Linked DNA regions of Ovis aries. The main gene of each other region encodes a partner of the protein of the gene in region 2 in a complex. Links are inferred from orthologs where the notes say so. Each region holds a gene or a part of one and is shown on either strand. Other genes may lie near its edges.

Region 1 (4,029 bases), on a different chromosome or scaffold from region 2:
AAAAAACATTTCAACTTCAACACAGTGAAAATTTAATTCCATTATTTTAAAAGGCTTTTAAATAATCAAAACTAAAAATGCATTAAACAGTTCAATCTTTTGAGGATGCTTATTAACGACTGGGGACTATAAGAGTTGTCAATTGAGTAGGGAGGTTCAAGAGGGAGGGGACATATGTACACCTATGGCTGATTCATGTTGACGTTTGACAGGAAACAACAAAATTCTGTAAAATAATTATCCTTCAATTAAAAAATAAGTGAATTGTTTTTAAAATTAAAAAAAAAGTGGTCAATTGAAGCCATAACAAGTCAAACTGCATAACTGCATGTTAACTGGCTATATTTAATTTTGCTTTCATTTTTAGAGTTTTCAAATGCTTCAAGTATTTTTAGAATTTGTTCATATTTTTTAAATAAAACTTTCAGAAGTTTTACATTTAACTTACAAACCTTTCACCTACCTCCGGAGTATCAATATCTTGGACAGGTGAATCTCCTCCATCATCATCACTCCCTTTTCTCTTTCTTCTGTTTCGCACGCTCTGAATTAAGTTTTTATGATAATCACAAATGTAAAGATGTCTTGCCTGGAACAGAAAAGTTTCACAGACAACTTAAGATTACAGGAAAATGTGTCTATGTATTAGTAAAATACATAGTTACGGTGAATTATTAAAAATATAAACATTAGTAACAGGCCATTGTTAAGACAACGCATGTTTCTTGCTACTCTTAAGTCCTGAACCCAGTTAAAACAAGGCATGTTTCTTGCTACTCTTAAGTCCTGAACCCAGTTAAAACATATCATGTCTAGCAATATTGTTAAAGAGGCCTGGGGGTGGGGTGGGGAGAAGTGCCAGTAAGGGAAGGGAGAGAAGCAGAGAATGAGAAATTCCTATGCTCTGGATTCTGTCATCAAATTGCAGCGATGGTGAACTAGATTAGTTCAGCTATGCCGCTTTTTTAAACAAGGGCAAAAAGATGCTGGCCACAATTTTGCTATTTGATAGTATTTTCTTTACTTAAAAGAGCATTTAATAATATTAATACCATAGTGAATGCTTCCTAATCTAACTTAATACTCAAATTATAATCCAGACACAAAACCATCCACTTTTGACAAATAAATTGATTTCACATCCTTACTAAGTTTAAATTTGAATTATGAACTTTCCTGAGTATTAAATAAAAGCATTTATTTATAATAAGTTTTTCCAACCAAAGCAATGTGAAATGATTCAAGTATACCTGGAAAGTTTCAACTACTGGAAACAGAACTGAGGAACTAACTGAATAGGCAGAAAGTATCCCAAATAAAGTTCCCAAAAACGTTAATTATATAGTTCTGAGAGCTGTACGGTAGCCTCTGAAATACTGGGTTTTATACATCAGCAGTTACTTCTTAAAAAAAAATTGAGGAATGAGCTAACAGGTTTTCAAATTAAACTTTGAGCTAAAGTGCAAGTTAAGAAGATGCAGGACGTGTGCTGGTTCTCACATCTTGTGATTTATTACCGCTCCCCAGGGCTCGGAAAAGTGGAAACGGTCGTTTCTAAAAACCTCCTAGATGGTCAGAGGAACAGACCTGCGAAAGGACGAAGAAAGAAACCCTGATGGCTGCCAAACCGAGGGCTAACCCGCAGCGGCTGCCCGCTCCCCACGTCTCGAGCAGTTCCCCTAGATGATGACACGGCCGCGCGGCTCGCAGCCGGGGGCCCCCCACCCCGCACCCGCGGGACCCGGGACAGGGTCCTAGTCGCCCGCAGCGTCCGGTCCTGGCTGCACTCCATTCCTGGACCGGGGAAGCTACCCGCTCGGGCAGCAAAACAAAGAAGGTGCCTCGGTTCCAGAAGGAGCCGTGGGTTGCAGGACAGCTACTCTGGGTTCTCGGCGCTGCCGCCCCCTTTGTTTCACCACTGACCCCCTCAGAGCAGGAGTGGAGGCCCTGCGCGGGAGGGGCCGCGGGAGCGGGTCCGGGAGGCGCGAGAGTGTCTACTGCGGACGGCGGGCCGAGTTGCAGCACCTTGTTGTTTGCTTCCTACTAGGGACCCCGGAACGGGCTCGCGAGGCACCCAGGTCTGGGGCTCCCGCACCCCCACCGGCACGCGTCTGCCCTTCTCCCCGAGCGCCCCGGGGGGCGGGCAGAGCAGATTCGTACCGCCGTCACTTACGCTCTTATCCAACTCGATCTTCACCTTCTTCTGGGAGATGCTCTTCTGGATCCTCTTGCTGAAGCTGGCGTTGCCCGCCGCCCGGCCGCACCGCTCGCCGTCCTCGCGCAGACAGCACAGCTGCCCGGGGCCCGGCCCTGCCGCTCCCGGCGGCCCCGCCGCCGAGACCGCCCCTGCACCCGGCACCTCGGCCCCGGCGCCAGCCCCAGCCCCGTTCCCGGCTGACGCGGCGGCGGCAGAAGCGGCGGCCACGGCGGCCACAGCGGCGGCCGCGTCCCCGCCGCGGCTCATGTCCTCGGGAGTGAAGCCGTTCATGTTCCCGCACTCGCAGAGCCGCGCTGACAGAAGCCTCGCTCTCCGCGCCGCCTGCCTCTCTGGAGATGCCGGGGTCTCGGCGGTCCCTCGCACCTGCTTAGCGGAGACTATTAACTCTGAGCCAGGGTCCTCCGGCCAAGACCACGAGGCCCCGGCCTGCTGCTGTCTGCAGGCACAGGATCAGTGGACGGGGCGTGGGATCGGGAACTGGAATCTGGCGTCGCCTGGAGCTGGGACGCTGCTCACTGTCACATGGAGACTCCTCAGCAGTCGGACCTCGATACCCCCGCCTCCCTTCGGCCCTCGATCTGCGCAAGCACATTGCGCCCTCGCCCGTCCCGCCCCTTCCACTCTGCCCGCAGGGCACCACGGGAATTGTAGTTCTCTTTTGGGGAGCCAACCTAAGCTCCAGTCTGACATCGAGCTTCATGGTTTAGGAGAACTTCTTATCCCAGCATTCATCGCGCGGAGGCGGATCTGGATTTTTTTTTTTTTTCGGTAATACATTGAGAAAACAGGGGCGTGTGGTGGGGGGCGGGGCGGGGGGCTTGTGATGTTTTCTGGCTCTGGTAGCTCCCGGGAAGTTGAGCTGTGTTTAGCTCCTGGATTTTGCAGAGCTGGCACTTTAGACGAAGAGGTCACTTAACTCCTGAAGCGAAGCACAAAAGGCGGGAGGCGGGGGTAGGAGGGGAGGGGGTGCGAGGGTGGGAACGGAGGGGATACGAGGGGAGGGAAGGTGTGGGGGAAAAAAGTTTCGGGCCTTTTTTGTATCTGTGAAAAAATTTTTGATGTAAAGACGTCTTTTGTGGGGCTTCCCACGTGGCTCAGTGGTAAAGAATCCGCCTGCCAAATGCAGGAGACATGGGTTCGACCCCTGGGTGGGGAAGATCCCCTGGAGAAGGAAATGGCAACCCACTCCAGTATTGTTGCTTAGAGAAGCCCGTGGACAGAGGAGCCTGGCAGGCTACAGTCCATGGAGTTGCAAGAGTCAGACACGACTTAGCAACTAAACAACGTTTTTGTGGGAAACCCAAACCAAGAAGAACGGGGCTCTGGCAGTTTTGGGGTCCCAGAGGCCCCATGTCTAACCCCATGGGGTCTGGGTAGCAGCTCTGCAGACTGACGCCCGAGATGGTCCATCAGGACGCCTGCGGGGGCGGTGGGCAGGGAGGGGTGACGTGCGTCCGAACCTCCCCTTCGGCAGGAGGACTGGAGGCTCTCCAGATCCGAGCATTGTCCGTGCGAGGATCGCGCTGGCTTGCGGGGCGGACTCTTGTCTACCGCCTCCTGAGGTGGAGCTCCGGATGAGTGGACTTAAAGGGGCTGCTTTCCGCCTCCAGCCCGGGCACCTCCACTTTGTCCTCGAAGGAACCGGGAACCTGTCTAATCACACGTGAAAAATAAAAAGCAGAACCCCTCTGAGTTCCGGTCAGCCACGAGCTCCCAGAGACCGAAGGCGCGCGCTCGGCCGAGATCGCCGGGAAAGGGGTGCTCCGGATCCGTGAGCGCGCGCACGCGTGTCTGTGTACGTGTCTGTGTGC
Region 2 (4,103 bases):
AGAATTGTGCACAAGCTGATCACATACCCTGGGATGCCCCTCCCTCACGTTGTCTTTAAAATGCTTTGCTGAAACCCACTGGGGAGTCTGGGTGTTTCAAGCCCTAGTCTAGTCCCCGGAGGGCTTCCCTGATGGCTCAGTGGTAAGGAACCCACCTGCCAATGCAGGAGATGAGGGTTTGAAGATCCCATGGAGAAGGAAACAGCAACCCACTCCAGTGGTCTTGCTTGGGAAATTCCATGGACAGAGGCGCCTGGTGGGCTACAGTCCATGGGGTTGCAGAGTCGGACATGACTTAGTGACTAAATAACAATAACAGAAACAAACTAGTGCCCAGCCTCCTTGCTTGGTGCTGTCCAGCAGTAAATGTTGCACTTTCCTTCACCACTACCTGGTGTCAGTAGATTGGTTTTACTGCGTGTGGGTGAGCAGACCCAAACTTGCTTGGGCTTCCCAGGTGGCGCTGCAGGTAAAGAACCCACTTGCCAATGCAGGAGACTTAAGAGATGCAGATTTGATCCCTGGGTTAGGGAGATCCCCTGGAGAAGGACGTGGCAACCCAGTCCAGTATTCTTGCCTGAAGAATCCCATGGACAGAGGAGCCTGGCGGGCTACAGTCCATAGGGTCACAAAGAGTTGGACATGACTGAAGCAACTTAGCATACACATGGGTGAGGAGACCCAAACCTGCTTTGGTAACAATAAGAGGTATTCAATTACCCCCCAAAGAGAAAAAACATTCTTGGAGTGGGGATTCCAAATTGGAAAACTTTAGGCATGTGTAGGTACTAGAAAGAGCTAGGGAGACTGTGATGCAGGGAAGGATCACCGATGAGTCTTAACTCCTATTTTTTTTTCTTTGTCTCTGCATCCTTCTCACCTTCATGTACTTGTTGAAGACTGTCTGGATCTCCTCGTTGATGCTGGGCTGCAGGACAGCTCGGAGGAGGTCCATGGAGATGGCAGGATCTGTGAAACTGCAGAGGGAGGGAGGGGAAGAAGCCACAGTCAGGAGGCATGTTCCAAACATTTCTTTTCCCAATCTGCCCAGCCAATTACTGACATAAGATCCTTCAACAACAATAACAGATGGCTTTGGGACTTCCCTGGCAGTCCAGTGGTTAAAACGCTATGCTTCCACTATAGGAAGCACTGGTTTGATCCTTGGTCAGGGAACTAAGATCCTGCATGCCATGTAGCGCGGCTAGAAAAAGAAAAAAACAAACCACCCCCGAATAAACAAAAAGATGACTTTTACTGAAAACTAGCTATGAGTCCAAGTTCTGTGCAAACCACATAGATGTGGGACTTCATTTCATACTCATAACTCTATGAAATGGGCACTATTTTTAAAGTGTTTTAGCAGAATAATACTTAATATACTGTAAGTTTTAGTGAACATCCATTTAATCACTACTTAGGTCAAGACTTCCCAGGTAGTGCTACATGTAAAGAATGCGCCTGAGATGCAGGAGATGAGGGTTCGATCCCTGGGTCTGAAGATTCCCCTGGAGGAGGGCATGGCTCCCCACTCCAGTATTCTCGGCTGGAGAATCCCATGGTGGGCTACAGTCCATAGGGTTGCAAAGACCTGGACACCGTTGAAGCGAATTAGCATACATACACACATACAGGTCAACAAACATATACAACCAGCATCCCAAAGACCCATCTTGCGCTCCCTCCCTTCCCTGAGATGGAGACTATCAGGCTTACGTTTCTCATAATCTTCATGCTATTCTGCCTCTTTGGCAGCTTTAAATACAAGAGCCATTGAACGTTAGGGATCTTGGGCATTGTCTAATCAACACACCTCTCCCTCGTTTTGAGTTTGGGGGAAATGACTTGCTCAAGGTCACACAGAGAGTTACTGAATCTGAATCTCCTCCTTCTACTGGCTGATGAACTCTTTCTTAGCCCTGTGCAGTGGGGACCGCAAAGCTGCCTTCCACGCCAGGGCCCTGGAGAGACATCCCGTCCAGGGCTAGCCTTACCTTGTGGTCATCTGTGAGCGGCGGCCCCTCCGCTGCACTTGCCGGTGCTTGATCATTATGTTCCAAGGGTTCTGTGGGGACCAAGGGAGCAGATGTCACCGAGGTCCGTGACACTGGCGTGGAGGTGGAGCGTGGGCATTAAGTTACACCTCAGACATTCCTGCTTCTCGGGTGCTTTCACCGTCTCTGCCACCTTGGGCTAGGGCGGTGCAGGGGAAGGCCCGGCAGGGGAAGAGGAACAGAGCAAAGTTTCCTGCCTCCAAAGTCCCAACCCTACTTTTCATAAAAGGGTGGAGGAAGGGGACCAGTGTTTACCGAGGGTCTACTCTGCCAGATGATGCGCTGGGCGCTTTACCCGCATTTATTATCCCTCCCCCTGACAACTTTAAGAGGCAGGGGCTAGACATCTCCATCTTCCCGAAGATAAAACTGGGGCTGAGAGGCTTGACAGGGCTGGCCCACGTCACCTAGCTAGGAGGGCGGCACCAGAATTTGAAGCCAGGTCGTCGGACTGTGACAATGCCAACCCCCTCGGTAGATCAGCCGCCGCGTTCTCTCCCCCGCGGGCCAGGGTCCCGGGAGCCCGAGGCCCTGCCCGGCCCGAGCCCAGGCCCCGCCTGGGCCTCCCCGGGGGCGCCCTCACCGTGAGAACCAGCTGCCCCGCTGCGCCCGCGTCTCCCAGCTCGGGGCCACCCCGCTCTGCCCCGCCGGGTCCCCGCGGCTGCTCAACGTCGCCAGTGGCCCCCATGGCGCCACGGGCCCCCACAACTTCAGCCCGACTCTGCCACCGGCCGGAAAGTGGCCCCGTGACGTCATTGGAGCGCGCCGCCCTCAGGCTCCGGAAGCGCGACGCGGCGAGCGGTGGGGTTGCCAGGGAAACCGCGCCGCTGGTTCTCGTCCGGTTGCAGCTGCTTAGAGGCGTTGCGTGTCGGGTGGCCTTTCTGCCTCTCGGGGGCGGCCTCGCTTCGGGTGTGACTGGGGGTGTTCAGTCAAGGGTCGTTCTCTGGCCGGGCCAAGGCCCGTGGAGAAGTGCGGGGCGGGAGGAAGGGAGCAGGTTTCCATGGGCTGGAGCTGGGGAGAGGAGGGGGGCGTTTGGTACGGGGGCGTCTGCGGTTGTCTTTGGAAAACTAGATTTTAATATGCTCCCAGAATTGGATGGGCCTCATGCGAGGACCCCCAAACCCAACAAGAGGTGGGGGCGTCTGGCCCATGGCATCCTAAACACTCACTCAGGGGTCCCTCCAGGCCTTTACCCCAGGGGTTGCCTCTTGGCGTCGGAAGGCATCTAATGAAGATCCTGGGCTTCTCTCCCCAGATGGTTGATTCTGGGATAGGTTGAGGATGCAGGGGTTTCACAGCTGTGGAGTTCCCCAGATCCCCTTTTGCTCTGCATTAGAGGTAAGACATCCATGAATAGAATTGGACCTACTTTTACCAGGTCATAATATGGGGTAGTAGAAGGTGCATGAGTTTTGCAGTTAGAAAGATCTGAGTTCAAATTCATTATGATAAGATGATAAAGAACACTGGCTATGGAATTGGACTGCTTACCTTTGTTCTGGGCTTCCCAAGTGGCTCAGTGGTCAAAGAATCCTCCTGGAACACAGGAGATGCAGGAGACGTCTGTTCCATCCCTGGGTCAGAAGATTCCCTGGAATGGCAACCCACTCCTGGTATTCTTGCCCGGGGAATCCCATGGACAGAGGAGCCTGGTGGGCTACAGTCCATAGAGTTACAAAGACTCAGACGCTGCAAAAAGTCAGACATGACCGAAGAAACTGAGCATGCACACACGCACCTTTGTTCTACCACTTATTAGCTGCGGCCTACATTTCTTTCTGCGATGCAGTTTCCCCATCTGTAGAATGGGGATAATAGTATTTAACTCATAGGGTTGTAGTGAGAATTAAGTGAGCTAACTTATGTAAAGTACTTAGACCCTTGGCAGTAATAAACCTTCAAACAATGCTATCTGACATTCCTGTTATTAAATTCCAAAAGCCACCACTTACTAGCTTAATGACCTTGGGCAGTTTTCCCTCTAAAAAAAGAATAAGTTTTCTTACTTTTGCAAGTTAGTTGTGAGAAATAAAATATGTCAAGCACATA

Evidence for each region. Proteins that work in one complex are often made in the same cells at the same time.
Region 1: DNTTIP1 (region 2) and SAP30 share a complex: the UniProt entries of both Homo sapiens proteins name them as parts of the histone deacetylase complex. The link is inferred for Ovis aries from reciprocal best matches to the Homo sapiens genes DNTTIP1 and SAP30.

The regions. Positions count from the first base shown.
Region 1 is NC_056055.1:107,372,944-107,376,972, forward strand, and holds the start of SAP30 (histone deacetylase complex subunit SAP30), read right to left. Parts: upstream 2,801-4,029; 5' UTR 2,489-2,800; coding exon 2,174-2,488; intron 590-2,173; coding exon 464-589; intron 1-463. UniProt on the Homo sapiens protein: Involved in the functional recruitment of the Sin3-histone deacetylase complex (HDAC) to a specific subset of N-CoR corepressor complexes. Capable of transcription repression by N-CoR.
Region 2 is NC_056066.1:74,538,075-74,542,177, reverse strand, and holds the start of DNTTIP1 (deoxynucleotidyltransferase terminal-interacting protein 1), read right to left. Parts: upstream 2,801-4,103; 5' UTR 2,743-2,800; coding exon 2,638-2,742; intron 2,066-2,637; coding exon 1,995-2,065; intron 978-1,994; coding exon 881-977; intron 1-880. Other genes in the region: WFDC3 (WAP four-disulfide core domain protein 3), read left to right, coding at 3,336-3,392. UniProt on the Homo sapiens protein: Increases DNTT terminal deoxynucleotidyltransferase activity (in vitro). Also acts as a transcriptional regulator, binding to the consensus sequence 5'-GNTGCATG-3' following an AT-tract.